Linked DNA regions of Coturnix japonica. The protein of the gene in region 1 purifies or fractionates together with the protein of each later gene. This does not show direct contact. Links are inferred from orthologs where the notes say so. Each region holds a gene or a part of one and is shown on either strand. Other genes may lie near its edges.

Region 1 (3,811 bases):
AATGGTAAGTTCAAGTATGATCAGAATGTGTGTTAAATCCACTGTTTCCAAAATCACTTCTAGTACTTAAATCTCTTCTTCTGTGGTTCTTTTACAGAGTATTTCACACCTCCTTATTGCTAAAGAAAACATAAACATCATAGTTCCCATGTTAATTCATCTTTGCTGCCTCTCGGTCTTTTGTGCCATGACTGTTGTCTCAGAATCCTTTCTCATCTTCTATCATCTTCTGAAATTTAAATGCAGAATGATTTGTTTTCTGACCTTTGGTTCACTGAAACTGTGAGCTGGGAAGAAACCTACTTAATTGGGTAGAAGGGTTCTGGGCAGTGTGGTCCAAGAGGTGTTCTTATCAACCGGCCAGAACTACAAGTATGTGGACTGAATTACTCTTCTAGGGAAGTAACTCATGTTTTGTTTGGCTTGTGATGCAAAACAGCTGTCTTTCAAGTGAAATCTTTATACTGTTGTTTGCATTGATCTTGTTTTGTTTGGACTTGACTACATCTAGACTAGTAAATTATATGGTGCCTGGAAGTGTTCTGTTGCTCTGAAATAGTCTGCTCCAGTAAACTGCTGGAAGGTTCTCTGGCACAACTGTGACACTCTTTCAAACTGTTTCTGGTCACAGAAACAGTTCAGCAGTGAAAATGTTCCAGGGAGTATTCCCAACAGTAAACTAGTCTGCAGCAACCCTGTTTTTTAAATATATATGTTTGGAAGCATAGATTTGGCTATTTAGTGCCAGTTAATGTTCATGCCAGAGAAGACTCCTAGGCTTAGTTAACTTGCAGCTTATCTGTTGGCAGAAGCTGAAAGTGGAAGGTCACATTCTCTTACCTGTGGTATACCTCCAGACGGATGGTGTAAACTATGGCAAAACTAGCTTTTCTTGACTCTTATAGATGTAGTGCTTGTCCATAGTTTATAGGAATGCCTGAGCATGCATTGTTTGGGAAGAATAAAAACAGTTTTTCTAGAATAGAAATTCAGTATTTCAGCAAGCTCAACAGAAGATTTCAGCTTTTAGGACTATGTTTTTTCTGTCTACTAATTCTTGCATTTTCTTGAGATTCCCACTCAAAATTCCTTTTGGATCTCTTCCTTTAAACCTTGTTTGTGTCTTTTCATATACTTGAAGGAATCATCTGGGTCATCAAGAACATACCTCACAGTTTCACATAGAACGTCTCTTGTTTATCGTTACATACCACAAGATGAAAAGCTTTATGTCATGCTTAAAGGTCTTTAAGTACAAAACACAGAAACCTGTAAAATCTTGCTAGACCTTCCCCATCCCTATTCAGGGGAATCCCTGGCCTATTCAAGGCCAGGCTGGATGTGGCGCTGGGCAGGCTGGTCTGGGGGGTGGTGACCTTGAACATAGCAGGGGGGATGAAGCTGGATGATCATTGTGGTCCTTTTCAACCCGTGCCATTCTGTGATAAATACAACAGAGCAATGGCGTTAGATCGCATAATTTAATATTGCTTTTGTTATAATACCGAATTCTTCTATAATAAAACTTTGCTTCTTGAAGGCAAGAACAAATGGAAAAGTATAATCTTAGTACCTAGGTCTATCTAGCATCATCAGTTTTCTTAGTACAGTTGCCATGTAATCCAGAGGTTTGAAATGTATGGAGAAACAAGCCTTCACTTCCCATCAGCCTGATCCCATTGACCATGTGAGTGAGGTGTATCATTTAAAATCTGAGATAGTGTGTGTGCTGAATCATTACCCCCAACTTACTCTGTCTCTTCACAATGTTCATAGCCATTTTTTCCACGTGGTCACGTTCTACAATGGGTAGGATCAGCCTTAAGTTTAGGATTTTCTAAGTCTGACTTTATGAAGTAAAGTACACCAGCTCCTTGTATTAGAAGTGAAAAGTGTTTGAGGTTTCTAGATCTGGGAACAGTTGTTCTTAATGAGTTCTGTCACATGGGAAGTACACAATGTCCAAAGCTTCCTGGAGAATGCAATAACTTAATTCTCTTTTCTTCCAAGTTTCTGAAGAAGATCACAGTAAGCGAAGCAGTTTTGTTTGTGTGTTGCTAAGCCATGGCGATGAAGGACTCTTCTATGGTACAGATGGCCCTCTTGAACTGAAAGTACTAACAAGCCTTTTCAGAGGTGACAAGTGCAGAAGTCTGGCAGGGAAACCCAAACTCTTTTTCATTCAGGTGAGGTACAACTGAATAGTGATCATCAAATCATAAGAATAATTCAGAAAATTGTTTCCCACTAGTACAGAATAATTATTCCTAAATTGCTTTATAGGGATTTACTTCCAGAATAAGACTCCCATCAGGTCTAACGTTGGAGTAGTCTGCTCCCTTAGTACTTATAATAGCTGAAATCACCTTAATTTGAATGAGTTAAGGTGGTGCAAAATCTTTCTGAATGCTGGCCAGTATTTCAGTGAGCTTCTGAATGTACTTTCATGTGAATAGCCATTCTAACCAAATAGGTTATATAAATAAATGCTAATAACTTTTCATATGAGTCTTTCTAGTCTAACCGTCTTCAAAGCTGAAAATATTGATAATATTCTTGTCATTACGATCATTGCCTTTTCTCATTTATTTTTTATTGTCCATTCCTCTTTCCAACAAATAGGCCTGTAGAGGAACAGAATTAGATTCAGGTATTGAAGCAGACAGCGGACCAGATGAAACGGTGTGTCAGAAAATACCTGTGGAAGCAGACTTCCTGTATGCGTATTCTACTGCTCCTGGTGAGAAGCCTGCAAAGAAAGGATTTGTTGCTCAAAGTGTATCTATGTATCTGCTTGCAGTGATGCTGGCAGTTGGCAGCCTTTTCCATGCAGTGGCTGATTACTCCGAAGTTTCTGATTTTCTTTGTATCACTTGCTGCTCTCATTTCCTAGAAAAAAGCTCATTATAGGTCTGTCTCAAATGTGAATGTGCTGCAGATTGATTTAATCTGAGCTGTGCAAATAATTTGCAACAGGAAAAAGGATATTATTAATTTTGAAAGAACAGAGCAATTGGACATCTATGTATATTTATATATATTATATACAGATGTCTGTATATTTATACACACAGAAATGGTGATAAACACCAAAGTATTATTTGGCTGTCAGCTCTATCTCATTGCAACCTAAGTGAATTAGTGGTATCAGGGCCCTTAGTATGCCCACTGCATTATCAATTATCAGGAATAAGGTCTATTTATCAGTTTATGCTTTTAGAGCTGAAGGTAGTGGCAGTGAAATCTGTTCTGCATCTTGGCTCTCGCTGTGCTGTCACTGCTCCTGCATGTGCGTATTCTGTAATGAAGTAGTAAATAATTAACGTGTGAGAGCAGAAGATAATTCTCCTGCCTTTTGATTATTTTTCACCTACCTAAAATCTTCTCACATTAGAAAAACAGATGGTTAGAAAAACCTTTTGGGTTGAAATTTGAAGGGACTGTCAAATCTAAACTTTGTTGATTAGGGGTTTTATTTTGTTTACTTTAAGCCCTTCTCTGCTGTTGGGTATGTTGTGTCATTCTATAACTGCTGTCCTGTCCTGTGTCAGAGGCTGCTACATCTGATCAGCTTGGTCTCCTTGTCTTCCACAGGCTATTACTCCTGGAGGAACGCAGCTGAAGGCTCCTGGTTCATTCAGTCTCTGTGCAGAATGCTGAGGGAACATGCCAGGAAACTTGAACTCATGCAGATTTTAACTCGTGTAAATCGCAGAGTGGCAGAATACGAATCCTGTTCCACTCGGCAGGATTTCAATGCCAAGAAACAGATTCCATGCATTGTGTCTATGCTTACCAAAGAATTTTACTT
Region 2 (4,436 bases), on another chromosome or scaffold:
TCCGCGCGGCCATGGCAAGCTGAGGAACAGGCCTGTCCAAGCTCTCACTGCCTCTGAGAGCGAAGGCTGCAGATTGCAAGGTTTTAGTTGGGTGAATTCCACAGGGAGGAGTGTGTGATAAAAAGACGGACCAAAATAGCTGTGCACACAGGCCCCGGGCCGCCTCGCCAGGGTGACGAGGGCAGCTCCTCATTGCATTCCTGTAGAGCTGCAGGCTCTGACTGCCGGCGGGGTGCAATCCTGCACCCCCTGGCTCTCCACCTTGGGCAGGGAACAAGAGGCAGGAACAGGGCACCCAGCACTGCCCCTGCCAACCCAGCAGGGCACAGGGCTATGCCTAATGGTGGCTGATGCTTGGTCAGGTTGTGTGCAGTCATGCAAAGTCATCGCTGTGAGTTTATCGCTCATATCAACCCCACAGAAAGGGATCTGTTTCCCCCAGAAGCTGAGTCTTTTGTTCCTGGGAGTGGTAAGGTGCTGCAGACCGCTAAGTGGCACTGAACAGGGTGCAGACCATGATGCTGACACTCCAGAACTGTGCCACTGTGAGCCAGCTGACCAGGCTGTGCCTTGGCCAGGGCTTCAGTGCTGCTCAGTGGGACCAGAGAAATGCCTGTGCTGGAGGTGGTGCATTAACCAGAGTCTGAAACTGGCCTAGATCCACTTTTACTAAACTGGGTGTTAGTACCCATTTAAGCTCCTTGTACTCTGAAACCAGAGATTTCCATGTCTCTGCAGTGCGAGAGAGCAGGTGCACTACTGCTGACGTAACATGGAACTGGATAAAGTATTTATGGCTGGGGCTTCTGCAGAGAGAATTCTACACCCTAATCTTGCAGGCAAGTGAACAGGAAGAGAGTCGAGCCCTTTTGCAGGGGACCGGTGGTGCTAGCAGTGAGAATCATGTGCCCTCAAGCCAGAAGTCTGTATTTAAGTTGCAGATAATCAGAGCTCTTGTCCTTAAAGGACAGCTGCTGGGCTGAACCCAGCCTCATGATCTGAACTGATAGCTGCTGGGCACAGGCAGATCAAGGTAGTTTGCATCCCAGAGAAGGCAAGCAGTGGTGCAGCTCTGCAGGGCTGCTGTGTGCCTGCTTTATCTCTGCTCACAGGGTGCTGGGCTCTTCTGCCCTCTCCAGCAGAGCGATTTCTCGAGTGGGCAAAGGACAAGAGTTGTCAGCTGATGCTCTGTGGAAACCATCCTTAGTGTGCACACACCAGCAGGTGCTCAGGTATGGTGCTCACCAGGCTGCAGAGCTGCACACCAGGGTACCTCAGCACAGACCTTTTGGGGTCCATGTTGCCCTCTCATTAAGGCCTGGGGCTTCCTTCACTTTAAGGGAAGGCAGAGCCCTTCCTTGGCGCGTGGGTGCAGTGGGGAACTGTAGCCTTGGTGCCGTCACTGGGAACAACAGTCCCTTGTCCTTTTCCATGTGAACCAAAGATAGGAGCTGCATTGATCCTGCTGGCATCCAAAGCAGCTGGGAACATCCGCCAAGCCTGCCTGGGACTCAACAGATAAACAGCACGTGGGGTGCAGAGAGGGTGGCTGGGCAGCTTGGCTTCTTGCTGTCCCATTAGTGTCCTTCTTCTCCCCTTCCCCCTCCTCCTTAGCAGTCTGTTCAAACCCCCGGACGCTCCTGGGCACTGCTGAAGGGACCAGTCCCGGACTGGGACAATAAAATCCCTGACACCACTATTTGAGAGGCCTCGGGGGGAGAGGCCCCGCCAGCCGCACGGGTATAAAGCTGCCCCCTGTGCTGGGCACAGCACCGCAGCAGTTGTTTGCTTGGCTCCTCTGTCGCACTCCGATGGATATCACCATTCACAACCCCCTGATCCGCAGACCTCTGTTTTCTTGGTTAACACCGAGCCGTATCTTTGACCAGCTATTTGGAGAGCACCTGCAGGAGTCAGAGCTGCTCCCTACGTCCCCCAGCTTCAGCCCCTTCCTGATGAGATCCCCCTTCTTTCGGATGCCCAGTTGGCTGGAGACGGGACTCTCAGAGGTAATCTTCCTTGCTTACTGTTTCTTGTTACCACTAGGTGCACATCCTGACGGGTCTGGAGCTGGGGACCCGGGAGAGCTGGGACACTGCTTGTAGGTAGTTAATAGGAAATCTATTATGAGGAAAAGAGTGCTGAGTTCTTGCCTCTGCTCCTTGGTGTTAGGCAAGGACCTCTGCACTCTCTGCTAATCACTTGTAACTGAGAGCAAATATTGCCACAGCCATGGGCACAGAGACAAACTGAGCTGTGTGTGTGCTGTGAATGACTGTAGAAGCCAGCAAGAGAAAGGAGGAAGCCTGATTTCTCTGTCTGCCCTGAAAAATTTTACATTCTGCGTCCTCCTGAGAAGCAGAGGGGCAGTGGGACCCCGTGCCAGGCAGCATGGGAGCCCCCAGATGCTGAGTAGAAAGGCCCAAGCTAAAGCATCTCTGCCAGGCAGAGCAGTGTTTTCAGAGAGATATGGGATGGGAGGACCTTTAAATGGCCATCTGCTTCGGGGGCTGAGGCACGCAGCTCAAATGACTTTGCTCAGCATGCAGGTCAGATGCCAATGTGCAAATAACTTAAAGAGTTACTCAAAGCCAGTGGAGTGAGAGGGAAGTATTTTCTTAATCTTTGCTTAATGTTTCCCTTGGTTTAGTCACCTGGTCTGGTCATATGCTGAAGCAGCCATAATAAGCACCACAGGTAACAACATCAACATCTGACTTTTTCAGTGGAGAAATCTTCACAGTAATCTAGCAAAAGGAGCAGGAAGCCCTCCAGGTAAAACTGAGGAAACCAGTAACCAGAAAGCTAGAACTGGCATGGAAGCTGCCTCCATGTCCCAAAACAGAGCTGCAGGAGGCTCGCGTTTTCCCTGACTGTGACTGCAGCAGGAAGGCAGAGACAGCCAGCCTGCATTGCCGTGTCCCACTGACTTATCCAAGACAGGCAGAAAATGCAAATTCAACCTCAGGAGCAAGCAAAAAGCAGCATTTGCTGGAGATGATAAAGTGCAGAATGGAAGGTAAGGATGCAAGATGAGCAGCAGGTGACTCAGAGTTTCAGCAGTAGCCCTGCTGCTCAGATAAGAGGGGTGAGCTGGTAGTGCTGCTCAGCTGAGACACGCTATTTTTGTTTTTAAAGAGTGACGACGCAGGGGAAAGCCTGCAAGTGACACAGATGAGCTGCAGCCAGCTGCACACTCTGTTTCTTTTTCCAGAAAGACTTAGCAAAATCCAGCTGCAGAGACTGGAAATCTCCAGACACCTCAGAAAAAGTAGATAGGAGTCAGTTTTAACAAATTCAGATTGAGAAAGTCTCTTTCTTATTTCCCAGAAAATATCTATTCTCTGTTTATCCAGAGAGAAAGCATCATGTTTTATGTGCTGTAGTGGTGGGCATGAATGGAACAGGCTAGCAAGAGCCAGATGAGAACCCCAGGACTGAAAACAGGAGGTCAGACAGTGCGTGTGGGGAGCCCAGCGTGAGCGTGACTTGCTGCATGTTGAGAGTCTGATGAAGCTGAAACCTCTGCCTGAAGTCGTCTCCTTGTTTTACAGATGCGACTGGAGAAAGACAAATTTTCTGTAAATCTTGATGTGAAGCATTTCTCCCCCGAGGAGCTAAAAGTGAAGGTGATTGGGGACATGATAGAAATTCATGGGAAACACGAGGAGCGCCAGGTACTTCTGTGTCACTGTTAACCAATGTGTGCTTCTTCACCTATGGTTAAACAAGGAAGCTGCAGAACAATCCTCCTCTGTGCTCTTCTGAAACACTTCCAGTGTTTTTGATCAACCAGTCCTAATGGAAGATGCTCTATGCAAACCCCCAGCTGATCCCAGACTGGGCAGCAGCAGAGTGGAGATTTAGTGCTGGTATTGCATGAACTGTGAACTGAACTGGAAAATCAACTTTGAAATAAGCATTTCCGGGCCTCCCTCTTTCTGGAAGAGGACAGGAATGCAGAGAAGCATTCAATAAGTTAACAATGAGCTGTAATAATTAAACCGCATAACGAATGAATGCATTGCCATGTTCCATTAGCAAGAAGCTATCTCTTCTTGAAAAAATACCCATTTACCAACTTACAGTCCTTAAAGGCTGTACTCTGCTGTCAGCCATCCCATTGCTTACTGGCTCTGTGGCAAAAGGTCAAAGAGAGGCCAAAAGCCACGTCCAAAGCTGTATGTAACAGGGATTACCTATCCTCCTATCCTTGCAAGAAGGAAACAAATCCTAAAGTACCTGTATCATTGTACCCATCAGCTCCAAAACTTCTGGGTGCCCAGATCTGTCAGTCAAATGCAGCACTACTCATAGACACTGGAAGCCTGTAATTCTGAAATAGCTTCTGCGGGGTTTTTTTTGTTTGTTTGTTTTTTGTTTGTTTTGGCTAAGAAATGAATCCAGAGCTAGAGCTGAGATGAGCTCACTGGGGA

Evidence for each region.
Region 2: the proteins of CASP3 (region 1) and CRYAB purify together in Homo sapiens (affinity purification with western blotting; 3 studies listed by BioGRID). This does not show direct contact. The link is inferred for Coturnix japonica from reciprocal best matches to the Homo sapiens genes CASP3 and CRYAB.

The regions. Positions count from the first base shown.
Region 1 is NC_029519.1:34,966,837-34,970,647, forward strand, and holds part of CASP3 (caspase-3), read left to right. Parts: coding exon 1-4; intron 5-2,010; coding exon 2,011-2,186; intron 2,187-2,622; coding exon 2,623-2,740; intron 2,741-3,594; coding exon 3,595-3,811. UniProt on the Homo sapiens protein: Thiol protease that acts as a major effector caspase involved in the execution phase of apoptosis. Following cleavage and activation by initiator caspases (CASP8, CASP9 and/or CASP10), mediates execution of apoptosis by catalyzing cleavage of many proteins.
Region 2 is NC_029539.1:5,449,117-5,453,552, forward strand, and holds the start of CRYAB (alpha-crystallin B chain), read left to right. Parts: upstream 1-1,608; 5' UTR 1,609-1,811; coding exon 1,812-2,009; intron 2,010-2,085; exon of another isoform or gene 2,086-3,019; intron 3,020-3,554; coding exon 3,555-3,677; intron 3,678-4,436. Other genes in the region: HSPB2 (heat shock protein beta-2), read right to left, coding at 1-193. UniProt on the Homo sapiens protein: May contribute to the transparency and refractive index of the lens. Has chaperone-like activity, preventing aggregation of various proteins under a wide range of stress conditions.